Stegostoma tigrinum: one gene and its partner. The protein of the gene in region 1 purifies or fractionates together with the protein of each later gene. This does not show direct contact. Links are inferred from orthologs where the notes say so. Each region holds a gene or a part of one and is shown on either strand. Other genes may lie near its edges.

The links. Proteins that work in one complex are often made in the same cells at the same time.
Region 2: the proteins of E3 ubiquitin-protein ligase RNF185 (region 1) and tmem259 purify together in Homo sapiens (affinity purification with mass spectrometry; 3 studies listed by BioGRID and IntAct, counting the BioPlex papers as one, with this or other methods). This does not show direct contact. The link is inferred for Stegostoma tigrinum from reciprocal best matches to the Homo sapiens genes RNF185 and TMEM259.

The regions. Positions count from the first base shown.
Region 1 is NC_081379.1:51,227,341-51,234,952, forward strand, and holds the start of E3 ubiquitin-protein ligase RNF185, read right to left. Parts: upstream 3,019-7,612; 5' UTR 1-3,018. Other genes in the region: c-Myc-binding protein, read right to left, coding at 5,229-5,273. UniProt on the Homo sapiens protein: E3 ubiquitin-protein ligase that regulates selective mitochondrial autophagy by mediating 'Lys-63'-linked polyubiquitination of BNIP1.
Region 2 is NC_081383.1:28,749,846-28,757,853, reverse strand, and holds the start of tmem259 (membralin), read left to right. Parts: upstream 1-4,996; 5' UTR 4,997-5,222; coding exon 5,223-5,402; intron 5,403-8,008. UniProt on the Homo sapiens protein: May have a role in the ERAD pathway required for clearance of misfolded proteins in the endoplasmic reticulum (ER). Promotes survival of motor neurons, probably by protecting against ER stress.

The sequences.
Region 1 (7,612 bases):
GATCTCCTCTAGCCTACCAGCCTGTTTCACGTTGGCCTCCTCTACAACTAGGTCCCTCTCAGTTATGAATCCTGAAGAAAAGTATTAATTAAGGACCTCTCGTATCGCTTTAGGCTCCGTGCACAAATTCCCTTTACAATCCTTGATTGGCCCTGCCCTTTCTCTGATCATTCTCTTATTCCTCACTAATGTGTAAAAAGCCTTGGAGTTTTCCTTGATCCTATCTGTTAAGGTTTTCTCATGCCCCCTTATTGCTCTCCTACACCCTTTCTTCAGATCCTTTCTGGCTAACTTGTATCCCTCTGGAGTCTTTTCCAAGCCTTGTTTCCTAAACCTTATATAAGCATCCTAGTCATTCAACCTCTCTTAAGAACCAAGGCTGCCTCACTCAACCGCATCTTCCTTGCCTGCTCGGGACAAACATATTGAGCACACGCAGTATGCATTCCTTAAACAATCTCCGCATTTCAGAGAGCTCTTCCCTGACATCATCTGTTCCCATTTTTTTTACCCAGTTCTCGCCTAACAGAATTGTAATTACCCTTCCCCCAATTATAAACCTTACTCTGCTGTACATACCTATCCTTTTCCGTGACTATTGTAAAAGTAACAGTGATGATTGCTAACGCCAAAATGCTCTTCGACCAACAGGTCTAACAGTTGGCCTGGTTCATTGCCAAGCACCAAATCGAAAATCACCTTTCCTCATGTTGGTCTATTACATACTGTGTCAGTAATCCTTTCTGAATGCACTGGACAAAATCTAAACTACTACAACTAGATTGTTTCCAATCAATATTTGGAAAGTTGAAGTCACCCAGACTACAACCCTGTGAGTTCTGCACCTTTTCAGTATCTGCCTCCCAATCTGCTCCTCCACTTCTCTGCAACTATTAGGGGGTCTGTAAAAAAACTCCCAACAAGTTGCCTGTAATAGGGTGATAGTGAGCAGCATTCTTGGACTGCTCCAGTTTGTGTGTTGTCAGGGCACACACGACCTGTTTGAGAGGAGGGTTACAGGATTTTGACCCAGCAATAGCGTAGGGATAGGGATTTCTTTCCAATCCACCATCCAAGTCAGGATGGTGAGTCACTCAGAGGGGATCTTTTCTTGCCTTGTCCTCCTTGGTGGTCGCTGCCATCGGTTTGTAAGGTTTAAAAAGCCTGGATGAGTTGTCTAGGTGCATCTTGTAGATGCTACACAGTACCGCTGCTGCAAATCACACAGTATCCTTAGTTGGAACTTACTCATCATCCTTTGCTGTTATTGGGACAAAATCCTGGAATTGTCTTCCTTACAGCACTGTGGGTGTATCTACAACACAATGCAATGGTTCAAGAAAGCAGCTCACCATCACCTTCTACAGGACAATCAGGGACACTCGAGACAGCAATGCCCACATTGTTTGCAAAGAACAAACGTAAGGACTGATGTATTGTTCATAGTAACATCTCTACCAGTCAACACACTGCTTCTTACAGGAGAAATGTCATGTTCCCCTGGTTACAGAGTCAAAGATGTACAACACAGAAATAGACCCTTCAGTCCAATTCATCTATGCTGCCGAGATATGCTGAATTAATCTAGTCCCATTTGCCAGCATTTGGCCCATATCCCTCTAAACCCCTCCTAGTCATGTTCCCATCCAGATGTCTTTTAATTTTTGTAACAGTAGCAACCTCCTACACTTCCTCTGGCAGCTGATTCCATACATGCACTGCGCAAAAAAGTTGCCTCTTAGGTTCCCTTTAAATCTTTCCCCTCTCACCGTAAACCTATACCTTCTAGTTTTTGACTCCACTATGCTGGGGAAAAGGCCTTGACTATTCACCCTATCCATGCCCCTCATGATCTTTATAAACCTCTATAAGGTCACCTCTCAGCCTTTTCCTCCAGCTCAAACCTACCAACTGTGGCAACATCCTTAAAAATGTTTTCTGAACCCAAGTTTCACAACATCTTTCCTTTATCAGAGAGACCAGGATCAAACACAGCATTCCAACAGTAGCCTAACCAATGTCCTGTACCACCACAACATGACCTCCCAACTCTTTTGCTCAATGCACTGACCAATAAAGACAGGCATACGAAAGGTCTTCTTCACTGACCTGTCTACCAGTGACTTTCAAGGAACTACAAACCTGCATATCAAGGTGTCTGTTTGACAACACTCCCCTACACCTTACTTTTAAGTGTATTATTCTTGCCTGATTTCCTTACCAAAGTATAGCATCTCACATTTATCTAATAAACTCCATCTGTCACTCCTCAGACCATCTGACCAAGGTCCTGTTGGACTCCAAGGTAACCTTATTTGCTATCCTTGGCAACAATTTTAGTGTGATCTACAAAGTTATTAACCATACCTCCTATATTCATATCCAAATAGCTTCTACAAATAACAAAACAAAAAAAAAAATCAGACCCAGCACCAATCCCTGCAGGAAACTGCTGGTCACAGGCCTCCAATCCAAAAAGCAACCCTCCACAACATCCTAGTTCCTACCTTCTAGCCAATTTTGTATCCAAATGGCTGGTTCTCCCTGTATTCCGTATGAACTAACCCTGTTAGGCAGTCTTTCATGCAGAACCTTGTTGAATGCCTTACTGAGCATGCAGACGTTGACTGCTGTGCCTTCAATCCTCTTCATCACGTCTTCAAACAACTTAATCAAGTTAGTGGGACATGATTTCCCATACACAAAGACATGTTGACTATTCCTAGATCAGCACTTGCATTTCCAAATAAACATAAATCCTGTCCCTCAGACCCTCCTCCAACAACTTGCCCACCAGTCTAAGTTTTTTGGCTTTACCTTTCTACATTTCTTAAATAACAGCATCACGTTGACCAACCTCTAGTCTTCCAGCACCTCACCCATGGCTATTGATGATGCCAAAATATTTGGCAAGGGGTCCAGAAATCACTTCCTTAGCTTCTCACAAAGTTCTAGGGTACACTTGATCTGCTCCCAGGGATTTATCCACCTTTTTGTGTTTTAAGACTTCAGCACCACCGCCATTGTAATATACGGATAACACAGGGTGGAGCTGGAGGAACACAGCAGGCCAGGCAGCATCTGAGGACCAGGAAAGCTGACGTTTCGGGTCAGGACCTTTGTTCAGAATCCTGACCCAAAACTGGCCTGCTGTGTTCCTCCAGCTCCACCCTGTGTTATCTCTGACCCCGGCACTGGCAGTTCTTACTGTCTCCATTGTAAGAGATGCTTCAAGATATCACTATTTATTTACTCCAATTCCATATCTTTCTGCACGGTAAACACTTCCCTTGCCTGCATCAGGATAATTTTGCAAATGAAAATTTTCAAAGCGTGTTAATATTTAGTTAATCATTGCTGTATCTTCTCAAAGTTTTTAATCATCCTTCCCCAAGTGCAGTTTGACAAGATATTTGAATTGTGATGGACAAGTACTTTACAAAAGTTCATATTTGTTTTGCTTCTGTACGTGATACTTCTATTTGTGAAGCCTACGATCCTGATTGCTTTTACAATACTTTCTTAACGTGCCTTGTTGCTTTTAATTTGCCCCATGTTCCTGTACCTCTCTAGAATTCTACAAATACATATTGCATTTCTCCATTTCTCAAGCATGAATTATCCATGCTTCTCTTCATAACCCCTCCATCAACTTGTGTCCTATTAAAATCTTGCAGTATCTTCTTCAGATTTTACTATATTTCCAGATTTTGTCATCTGTAAATTTATGTGTGCTCAGCTCAGCATATATCAAAAAAAAAGGGTTCCTAATAACCCTACAACACATCTTTCTCCAGTTTGAAAATGTAGTTCGCTGTCACTCAGGTAATTTTGTCTCAAAGGTGCTGTGGGCCCTTTTGTCCTATGGGCAACAAATTTTATCAATATCTTTCAAAAGTCCGTTTTCCATCAGGTGAATCAAATGTGACTTGGCATTCACATATTAATCCATACTTATCCTGGTGACTGTTTGTTTTATCTTGGAAGGAATACTGATGGGAGAAGAGAAAAGAGTAGAAGCCAGATCGAGAAAAGAGAAAGAAATGAAGATAAGGGAGAACAGAACATGAACCTGAAAGGGGAGTGAGTAGGTGGGTGGGGAAAGGGGAAGGACATGAGCATGTGAGGGAGTGGATAATAAGAAGCTGAGAGAAAATGGATGATTGGCCAGGGAAGAGAGCAGTTACTTAAGTTCATTCTGCAAAGAAATAAAAGAGGAAAGTGACAGAGTTAGACACGGCTCCATCTGAAGGACTGAGACAAGTACACAAGGAGGGGCGGGACAGTGTCATTCCATTACAAATGCAAATCCTGGGCTTGCCTCTAGAACAAAAATCTTTTAATACTGGTTAATCTAGTGTTTTATCATCAAGAAACATACCAATGATGTGCAAAGAAAATTTATTCAGTGAATACAAAAAAGGGAAAAATTGAACTTCTGTACAACTAAAAAAACAATAAAACTTGGACATTAATTGAGCCAAATGGGCCTGGTTTCAGCATTAGTGTAGTTTGCTGATAAGATGTTCCTCCTGCTCCAAAAATGCCAGTGCCTAGTCACGTTAGTGGATCACGGCCTGGTTGCCAGATTTTGTCCAAAATACTGGCCCAATGACAGCAAACCATCCAACATGGTCAACATTCATACTTGACTGCTGCCAAGTTCCACTTGTTCAGTTTGGCTTGTGAACTGATATACAGATTCTATTGGCCTAATGTGACTTAAAGCTATTAACCCCTAGCTTATCCGTCCCCATGTCCCCCAAACTAACAGGATATGCCAGACAAGAGTGCTCAGTACTGTTCCCCACAAAGTGCAAAATGACTTTAACAAACATGTTTGGTGAAACAAAGTTACTGAAATTTGTTTCAGAAATCTGGTAACATCATGCCAATATTAACAAAATTTAGGATCCAATGAAACATGTGCAACTTGCATTGGTTTGTAGGGCTATATCTGAATCAAATGTTTGTGTAGAATTTAGATGCATTGAGTAAAAATTCTGTTGAATATCCACTTCCAAATGCTGCATTGCAGACAGGTATACAACAATGGCATAATTTTTTTTAGCTTAAAGTAACTTTTGTTTTGGCATGTGTAACCTAAAATGACTGGCTGCATTTCTTCCAGAATAGGTGCCAATTCTCCAAAATTAATACTATTTGCCAGATGATTTTATCAGATCCCTTTCATGCATTCTTCTGATAACGTGGGAAGTCTTGAATTATTATTCAGGTTGCCCTTCCTCTTTTGGGGGCTCGAACTGTGCAAGCTGTGAACAACAGATTGAAATACTTTAGCTCTCATTAAAATGAATTTCAGAGATTTCCACATCAAAAACGTGTCACTAACTATATCTGAAAATTCTGCATTGCTCTGATTGAAACAGTTATCATTTTGCGGTTCAAGAAAACTTAGAATATAAAGTTGTTCTACAAAATGCACAAACCAGAACATGATTTTAAAAATAAAGAGTTCAACATAGAATCTGCAGTATAGAATGTGAACAGAATTTTTTCAAACATTCTGCCGTGATCACAGGGTCTTAATGGTTTCAAGCACACTAACAGCCCCTAAAAAGCAAACAAAAATACCCGCAAGAATTTGATCCCTGAAATAACATCCCTTTAAAATTTAATTCACACTGTCGAGTTGACTTGCCTGGTTGGCAGAGGAAATTAGACTGGAATCAGTTGACACTGGAGCTAGCCATATTGTGGAGCAATGGTTTATAAAAAAAACCTTTTAATGGGATAAATGGAACAGGGAACTGAAGTCACCAGACTAGGCAAAAAATTAAAACTCCTCCTGAAACTTACAATGAATTTGAATTGAAGAAATGCAGGTAATCAGGCTTCCCAAAAATCAGTAATACATTTTAGACGCAGGTGTGTCACCTTCCCATTGCTTTGCCATTACAGCAACAGAATCACACCAACTTTTTGTTACTTGAAAATAACTTCTAGAGTTTTAACAGTGCTAAGCTTTGTGATAAACCTAATAAGATTACCATGACAGAGCAAGAACATTAGATGGACAGACTTCAATAGAAAGCAGGTTGTTCAGCTGTTGTGCCTACAGCAGTTCCTTACTGGAATAGCCCTAAACTAATACCACTATTCCATTTTATCCTTATAACCTTTTTATCAGTTCCAAACTCAGTCACAACCCAAGAGGTGAGTTTGTGCATGGTTGTTCGGTTAGGCGTTGGAGACACAGGCTAGAAGCAACTTGGTTTAGAAATTGACGTTAAAAAGGAAGAGGAGTTGTGTGTCTTAGAAAGTCTTAAGGGTAGATAAATCCCTGGGTCTTGATGGGATTTATCCTAGAATATTGAGGGGAAACAAGAGAACAAATTGCTGGAGCATTGACAGACATCAGGACGGCATGGTGGCTCAGTGGTTAACAGTGCAGCCTCACAGCACCAGGGACACGGGTTTGATTCCAACCTCGGGCGACTGTCTGTGTGGAGTTTGCACATTCTCCCCTTGTCTGCGTGGGTTTCCTCCCACAGTCCAAAGATGTGCAGGCTAGGTGAATCAGCTATGCTAAATTGCCCGTAGTGTTCAGGGGTGTGTGGGTTATAGGGGGATGGGTCTGGGTGGGATGCCTCAAGGGGCAGTGTGGACTTGTTGGGCCGAAGGGCCTGTTTAAACACTGCAGGGAATCTATTCTTTATGTCCTCTTTGGTCACGCCTGAGGTCCCAGAGGGCTGGAGAATAGCTAACATAGTCCTATTGTTTAAAAAGGGTGGCAGGGATAATCCGGGCAATTCCAGGTCTGTGAGCCTCTTGTCAGTGGTAGGAAAGTTACTGGAAAAGATTCTTAGGAACAAGATCTATAAACATTTAGAAGTAAATTAACTGATTAGCAATTAACACATGGTTTAAGTGTGTGGTGGTCATGCCTCACTGACTTGATCAAATTTTTCAAGGGGGTGATGAAGATGATTGATGAAGGAAAAGCAGTTGATGTTGTCTACATGGACTCCAGTAAAACCATTGTCCACGTCCCTCATGACAGACTAGTACAAAAGGTGAAGTCACGTGGTGTCAGGTGCGAGCTGGCTTAGGCATAGGAGACAGAGGGTAGAGGTGGAAGGATAGTTTTTGGAATGGAGGAATGTCATGAGCGGTGTTCCGCAGGGATCAGTGCTGGATCTCACCTGTTTGTGATCTACATAAGTGATTTGGAGAGAAAAGTAGCTGGTCTAATTAGTAAGTCTGTGGACGTTACAAAGACTGGGGGAGTTGCAGATAGCGAGGAGGATTGTCAGAGGATATAACATGATACAAATCAGTTGGAGACATGGGCAGAAAAATAGCAGATGGAGTTTAAGCCAGACAAATATGTGAGGTGATGCATTTTGGAAGGTCACGTACAGGTGGAAGTTATAGAGTGAAAGGTAGAACCTTTCGGAATATTGATATGCAGAGAGATCTGGGTGTGCAGGTCCACAGATCACTGAAGATGGCAGCGCAGGTAGGCAAGGAGTAAAAAAGGCCTATGGCCTGCTTGCCTTCATTGGAAAGGGCACTGAGTACAAGAACAGACAAGTTATGCTGCAGCTTTATAGAACTTTAGTTAGGCCACACTTGGAATATTGCGTAC
Region 2 (8,008 bases), on another chromosome or scaffold:
GTCTGATTAGTACCATCACCCTCTGCCTTCTGCCTCTCAGCAAATTTTAGATCCAATATGCCACTATGCCTTATTACCCCATGGGTCTTACTTTCTTGCCCAGTTGATCATGAGAGACGTTATCAAAAGCCTCGCTGAAGTCCATGTATATAGCATTACCCTCATCAACGTTCCTGGTCACCTCCTCCAAAAATTTGATCAACTTTGTCAAACACAAATTTCCCTTAACAAATCCACGCTCTCTAACCCTGATTAATCTTTAAGTATCTCCAAGTGCAGATATATTCTGTACTTCAGAACTGCCACCAAGGTTAGATTGACTGGTCTGTAATTTCCTCACTTATATCTTCTCTCCATTTAAAAAAATACGGTGAACAGTTCTCCAGTCCTCAAACAATTAACCAGTGGCCAGAGAGGGTCTGAAAATTACTGCCAGTAGGCTGATATCCCCTCACCAAAATACTTATTATCAGATTGGGTGAGCTCAATATTGTATCCAACAGATGGTTTCAGAACCATCACCCAAGACAACTACAATGAGTCTTAATTTGCCTGATCTAGGTTTGATGATGACTGAAATTACTGTTCAAATTCCTAAAATCTGGCAGACAGAAAAAATATTTCATGATTCCTACACTGTGTTCTTCATTTCAAATTATGAATTTACACATGCTGACATACTAATATTTTCTATAAATGTAAACATTTAAAACAGTGTTGATTATATTGTTAGTAGAAAGTACTTTCAGAATGATTTTCTGAAACACCTTACAATATTCTTGTGATCTTGTGCATATTTCAGCAAATCCTACACAAGTTCCTGGACATGACTCTATATGGAGTGCAGTGTCTCCCACAGATGCGAGAACTCAACCCTGCTTGGTGGAGGCGCAGTTTATGGACATCAGATTGTTGCTGCAGGGAAGGCACTGCTTCCCTGCATGTGGATGCAGTCACCCATCCCAGCCGGAGATGGCACCTTGGTTGAGAGTTGAATAATGTTTTCCTGTGTTCGCTGTGGTTGGGTTTTGGAACGTGAAGTTGTGTGTGCACGCGGGAGGGGAAGCGTAGTAATACCTGCAAACCGGCGTGGTTGATTTGGAGCTGCAACTCTCTCGGTATGTGTGGATGGTGTTGTAAGTCCACCAAGCTCGCAAGGATGCTATCATTGGGGTTTAACAATAGAGATAATAGGAATTGCAGATGCTGGAGAATCTGAACTAACAAGGTGTAGAGGTGGATGAACACAGCAGGCCAAGCAGTATTAGAGCAGGAAAGCTGACGTTTTGGGCCTAGACCCTTCTTCAGAAATGGGGGAGGGGAAGGGGGTTCTTAAATAAATAGGGAGAGAGGGGGAGGCGGATGGAAGATGGATAAAGGAGAAGATAGGTGGAGAGGAGACAGACAGGTCAAAAAGGCAGGGATTGAGCCAGTAAAGGTGGGTGTAGGTGGGGAGTTAGGGAGGGGATAGATCAGTCCAGGGAGGATGGACAGGTCGAGGGTGCATGATGAGGCTAGTAGGTAGGAGATGAGGGTGGAGCTTGAGTTGGGAGGAAGGACAGGTTAGGGAGGCAGGGACAAGTTGGGCTGGTTTTGGGATGCGGTGGATGGGAGGGGAGATTTTGAAGCTTGTGAAGTCCACATCGATACCATTGGGCTGCAGGGTTCCCAAGCGAAATATGAGTTGCTGTTCCTGCAACTTTCAGGTGGCATCGTTGTGGCACTACAGGAGGCCCAGGATGGACTTGTCATCTGAGGAGAGGGAGGGGGAGTTGAAATGGTTTGCGACTGCGAGGTGTAGTTGTTTAGGGCAAACTAAGCGTAGGTGTTCCACAAAGCGGTCCCCAAGCCTTCGCTTGGTTTCCCTGATGTAGAGGAGACCTCCTCTACAGTTGCAAACCATTTCAACTCCCCCTCCCATTACTCAGATGACATGTCCATCCTGGGCCTCTTGCAGTGCCACAACGATGCCACCCGAAGGTTGCAGTAACAGCAACTCATATTCCACTTGGGAACTCTGCAGCCTAATGGTACCAATGTGGACTTCACAAGCTTCAAAATCTCCTCTCCACCCACTGCATCCCAAAACCAAACCAGCTCGTCCCAGCCTGCTTAACCTGTCCTTCCTCCCACCTCAGGCTCCACCCCCACCTCCTACCTACTAACCTCATCCCGCCCCCTTGACGTTTCCGTCCTCCCTGGACTGACTTATCCCCTCCCTAACTCCCCACATACACTCACCTTTTCTGGCTCCACCCCCGCCTTTTTGACCTGTTTGTCTTCTCTCCACCTATTTGCTCCTTTATCCATCTTCTATCCGCCTCCCCCTCTCACCCTAGATAATAAAGTGTGAAGCTGGATGAACACAGCAGGCCAAGCAGCATCTCAGGAAGTCTGACGTTTCGGGCCTAGACCCTTCATCAGAGAGGGGGATGGGGAGAGGGAACTGGAATAAATAGGGAGAGGGGGGAGGCGGACCGAAGATGGAGAGTAAAGAAGATAGATGGAGAGAGTATAGGTGGGGAGGTAGGGAGGGGATAGGTCAGTCCAGGGAAGACGGACAGGTCAAGGAGGTGGGATGAGGTTAGTAGGTAGCTGGGGGTGCGGCTTGGGGTGGGAGGAAGGGATGGGTGAGAGGAAGAGCCGGTTAGGGAGGCAGAGACAGGTTGGACTGGTTTTGGGATGCAGTGGGTGGGGGGGAAGAGCTGGGCTGGTTGTGTGGTGCAGTGGGGGGAGGGGACGAACTAGGCTGGTTTAGGGATGCAGTAGGGGAAGGGGAGATTTTGAAACTGGTGAAGTCCACATTGATACCATATGGCTGCAGGGTACCCAGGCTGAATATGAGTTGCTGTTCCTGCAACCTTCGGGTGGCATCATTGTGGCAGTGCAGGAGGCCCATGATGGACATGTCATCTAGAGAATGGGAGGGGGAGTGGAAATGGTTTGCAACTGGGAGGTGCAGTTGTTTGTTGCGAACTGAGCGGAGGTGTTCTGCAAAGCGGTCCCCAAGCCTCCGCTTGGTTTCCCCAATGTAGAGGAAGCCACACCGGGTACAGTGGATGCAGTATACCACATTGGCAGATGTGCAGGTGAACCTCTGCTTAATGTGGAATGTCATCTTGGGGCCTGGGATAGGGGTGAGGGAGGAGGTGTGGGGACAAGTGTAGCATTTCCTGCGGTTGCAGGGGAAGGTGCCGGGTGTGGTGGGGTTGGAGGGCAGTGTGGAGCGAACAAGGGAGTCACGGAGAGAGTGGTCTCTCCGGAAAGCAGACAGGGGAGGGGATGGAAAAATGTCTTGGGTGGTGGGGTCGGATTGTAAATGGCGGAAGTGTCGGAGGATGATGCGTTGTATCCGGAGGTTGGTAGGGTGGTGTGTGAGAACGAGGGGGATCCTCTTAGAGCGGTTGAGGCGGGGGCGGGGTGTGAGGGATGTGTTGCGGGAAATACGGGAGACGCGGTCAAGGGAGTTCTTGATAAGCTCTTTAAGGACCGCACGGTGATCGAGAACGCCCTTGACCGCGTCTCCCGTATTTCCCGCAACACATCCCTCACACCCCGCCCCCGCCTCAACCGCCCTAAGAGGATCCCCCTCGTTCTTACACACCACCGTACCAACCTCCGGATACAAAGCATCATCCTCCGACACTTCCGCCATTTACAATCCGACCCCACCACCCAAGACATTTTTCCATCCCCTCCCCTGTCTGCTTTCCGGAGAGACCACTCTCTCCGTGACTCCCTTGTTCGCTCCACACTGCCCTCCAACCCCACCACACCCGGCACCTTCCCCTGCAACCGCAGGAAATGCTACACTTGTCCCCACACCTCCTCCCTCACCCCTATCCCAGGCCCCAAGATGACATTCCACATTAAGCAGAGGTTCACCTGCACATCTGCCAATGTGGTATACTGCATCCACTGTACCCGGTGCGGCTTCCTCTACATTGGGGAAACCAAGCGGAGGCTTGGGAACCGCTTTGCAGAACACCTCCGCTCAGTTCGCAACAAACAACTGCACCTCCCAGTCGCAAACCATTTCCACTCCCCCTCCCATTCTCTAGATGATATGTCCATCGTGGGCCTCCTGCACTGCCACAATGATGCCACCCGAAGGTTGCAGGAACAGCAACTCATATTCCGCCTGGGAACCCTGCAGCCTAATGGTATCAATGTGGACTTCACCAGTTTCAAAATCTCCCCTTCCCCCACCGCATCCCAAAACCAGCCCAGTTCGTCCCCTCCCCCCACTGCACCACACAACCAGCCCAGCTCTTCCCCCCCACCGACTGCATCCCAAAACCAGTCCAACCTGTCTCTGCCTCCCTAACCGGCTCTTCCTCTCACCCATCCCTTCCTCCCACCCCAAGCCGCACCACCAGCTACCTACTAACCTCATCCCACCTCCTTGACCTGTCCGTCTTCCCTGGACTGACCTATCTCCTCCCTACCTCCCCACCTATACTCTCCTCTCCACCTATCTTCTTTACTCTCCATCTTCGGTCCGCCTCCCCCTCTCTGCCTATTTATTCCAGTTCCCTCTCCCCATCCCCCTCTCTGATGAAGGGTCTAGGCCCGAAACGTCAGCTTTTGTGCTCCTGAGATGCTGCTTGGCCTGCTGTGTTCATCCAGCCTCACATTTTATTATCTTGGATTCTCCAGCATCTGCAGTTCCCATTATCTCAGGAAGTCTGCTGTGTTCATCCAGCTTCACACTTTATTATCTTGGATTCTCCAGCATCTGCAGTCCCCATTATCACCCTATTTATTTCAGAACCCCTTTCCCCTCCCCCATTTTTGAAGAAGGGTCCAGACCCGAAACGTCAGCCTTCCTGCTGCTTTGATGCTGCTTGGTGCGCATCTTGTCATCTCTTGGGTTTATCAGAGTCGTGTCTATGCGCGTGATGTGTAGTAGCTCCTCCCAACCGCCAACGGCAGTATGATGAGGAGTTGTAACGGGGGGGTCCGGTAGTAAGTCCTCCCATCTGGTGGGGGCGCAATGATTGGGAGTCGGAATGGGTGCTGTGAACGCGGTGCGGAGTGGGAAACGGTGGGTCTGGGCTGGACGGAGTACAGAACACGGCCGAGGAGGGGCAAAAACTGTGAAAATTGACTCGGCTGCGCGACGAATGATTTCTCTGACATAACGTTGTTCGGACAAAAACTCAAAAGCTTTCTATTTTGAAATTTAAAAGAAGCCCGCGCGTTAGCTGGAGTTCAGGAAAATGTCGGAAAATCAGCCCAACAACCCGAACCGGGTGAGAAACAACAACCTGAACCCGAACCCGCTCATCAATGTCCGGGACCGGCTCTTCCACGCACTCTTCTTTAAGATGGCCGTGACATACGCCAGGGTGTTCCCCCCATCTTTCCGCAGAATGTTTGAGTTCTTCGTGCTGCTGAAGGTCAATATTGTTATTTTTAATTTTTGAGGGATATCGCTGGGAAAGGGATAGGAGGCCCCTGGCTCGAGATGAGATTGATTGTTGGCGGGGGGGGGGGTGCGCAGAGAATTGCGCATGTGCACCTTTCGTGCCCTGGTTTGGGATCGTTACCTCCTTTACTTAATATGTTCCCTTGTATATTTAACTTTACGGTCACATGCACGGTAGCGTTGTAATAAAGCCACTAGATTTTGATTACAAAACGTTTGCAGGAAGTTGCTTGGGGAATGCATTATATATACTCAATAATCAAGTTGTTATCCTTGCCTCCATGTTACCTAACATCAGTAAAAGTTCTATACCATTAATTACAAACTAGCTACTTCTAGTTGCAATCTGTCATCAGCCTTCCCTTCAAATGAATAACCCTTCCATCTTTACACACAGCCAGCACTTCAATTTCTTTCTTTTTCCCTCTCTAAAGTTCTTAAACGTATCACCTCTCAACTCTTTCTAAAATCCCATTTTGGAGTCCCTTCATATCAGGTTTCAGCCTCATGAAGGTAAAATCTCAGACAAGTAATGGTGGCAAAAAGTAACTAATCTATCATTCTATGCTGTTATGTAACCTTTAGCATGATTAACCATACTATTCTCCAGTGCATCTCCATTGTTATCCAAATGGGTGAGAGTACGCTTGCCAGGTTCATTCATATCCATTAAATTCTGCGGCTAGGAAAGTTATATGCGTTACCTTTTCCTTACTTTCCCATGTAAGAGTATGCTGACTTCTTGTATCTGCTCTGCCTGACAGTGCTGTCATATCTGGCATTACTCTTTGAAGCTTTCCTAGTCCTCATTTACACACTGCTCCTTGGTGATATCCAAAAATATTGTCACTTGTCATGTGTAAACCTATGACACCTAACTTTGCCTGACCATTCTCTCTCAAACCCTTCATAAATCATATAGTACAGAAGAGTCCCTTTGGCCAATCAAGTCTGTGCTGCCAAAGAATGTGCTTCTACCTTCACTAGTCTCACTTTACCACACTAAGCCCATGGCCTTGAATGTTATGACAATTAAAGTATTTATTTATTTATCCAAGTACTTGTTAAAGATTGTCAGTTCATCTGCCTCAAATACCCTCCCAGGCAGTGCATTCCAGACCCCACCACCCTCTGAGTGAAAAACATTATCTTCAAATCCCTTCCGACCTCTGTGTATGTGCTCCCCGTTCTTGACCCTTCCAGTAAAGGGTGCAGTTGCTGTCTGTCCACGCTATCCATGAACCTTGTAATGTTAAACACCTCAAAACCGGTTCTTCCTGAACTTCCCTGCTCCAAAGAAAACCAAGCCAAGCTTATTCAGCTTCTCCTCATAGCTGAAATACTCCATCCGAGACAACATTCTAGTGAATTTCCTCTCCACCATCTGTAATGCAATCGCATCCTATAATGTGACCAAAACTGCACACAGTACTCCAGCTGTGACGTAATCAAAATTCTGTACAGCTCCAACATAATCTCTCTGTTCTTATAATCCACACCTTGAGTGACAAAGGCTAGCATCCCAAATGCAACTTGAACAACCCCATTAATCTGTCCGGCCACTTTCAGGAATCTGTGGACAATACTTCAAGATCCTCGGTTCTTCTGAGCTTCCTGTTGACACTAAATTGTCAGACTACTTCTAATATTCAGTACTGTGGATATGTGCAGAAATATTTCCCATCTAGGTATTGAGAAGACTGAAACAATTGTCTCTGATTGCTAAAACCACCCCTCTCCCTGACAGTATTTGAGGCTGAACCATACTGTTTACTGGAGATTGTAGGAACTGCAGATACTGGAGAATCTGAGATGATAAGGTGCAGAGCTGGATGAACACAGCAGGCCAAGCAGCATCAGATGAGCAGGAAAGCTGACGTTTTGGGCCTAGACCCTTTCTCAGAAATGGGAGTGCTGAAGGTTCTGAAATAAATAGGAAGAGGGGGCGAGGTGGATGGAAGATGGACAAAGGAAAAGATAGGTGGAGAGGAGACAGACAGTTCAAAGAGGCAGGGAAGGTGAGTGTTGGTGGGGAGATCAGGAGGGGATAGGTCAGTCCTAGGAGGACAGACAGGTCAAAGGGGCAGGATGAGGCTAGTAGGTAGGAGATGGGGGTGGGGCTTGAGGTGGGAGGAAGGACAGGTTAGGGAGGCAGGTACAAGCTTGGCTGGTTTTGGGAAATGGAAGGTGGAGGGGAGATTTTGAAGCATCTGAAGTTCACATTGATACCATTGGGCAGCAGGGTTCCCAAGTGGAATATGAGATGCTGTTTACAATATTGTTTACCAGCTTGGTCTCACACCTGAGATGACCATCAAGCCACACATTTGCAATCTCAATGAGAGACAGTCTTGAGTATTTTTAATAATCCAGTATCCATTGCTCTTTTGAGGTGGGGAAAAGATCAACAGCTGTCATGAGGGAGGAATTATTTAAAATCTGTGGTCACTGTATCTGGATTCCCCCACGAGAGAAACACTCCTAAAACCCACATCCGTGTCTTTGTTACCTCTAGATTGACTGTTGCAATACTGTCGCAGCTGACTGTCTTCATTCTCTAACTCTGCCCATTTTCTA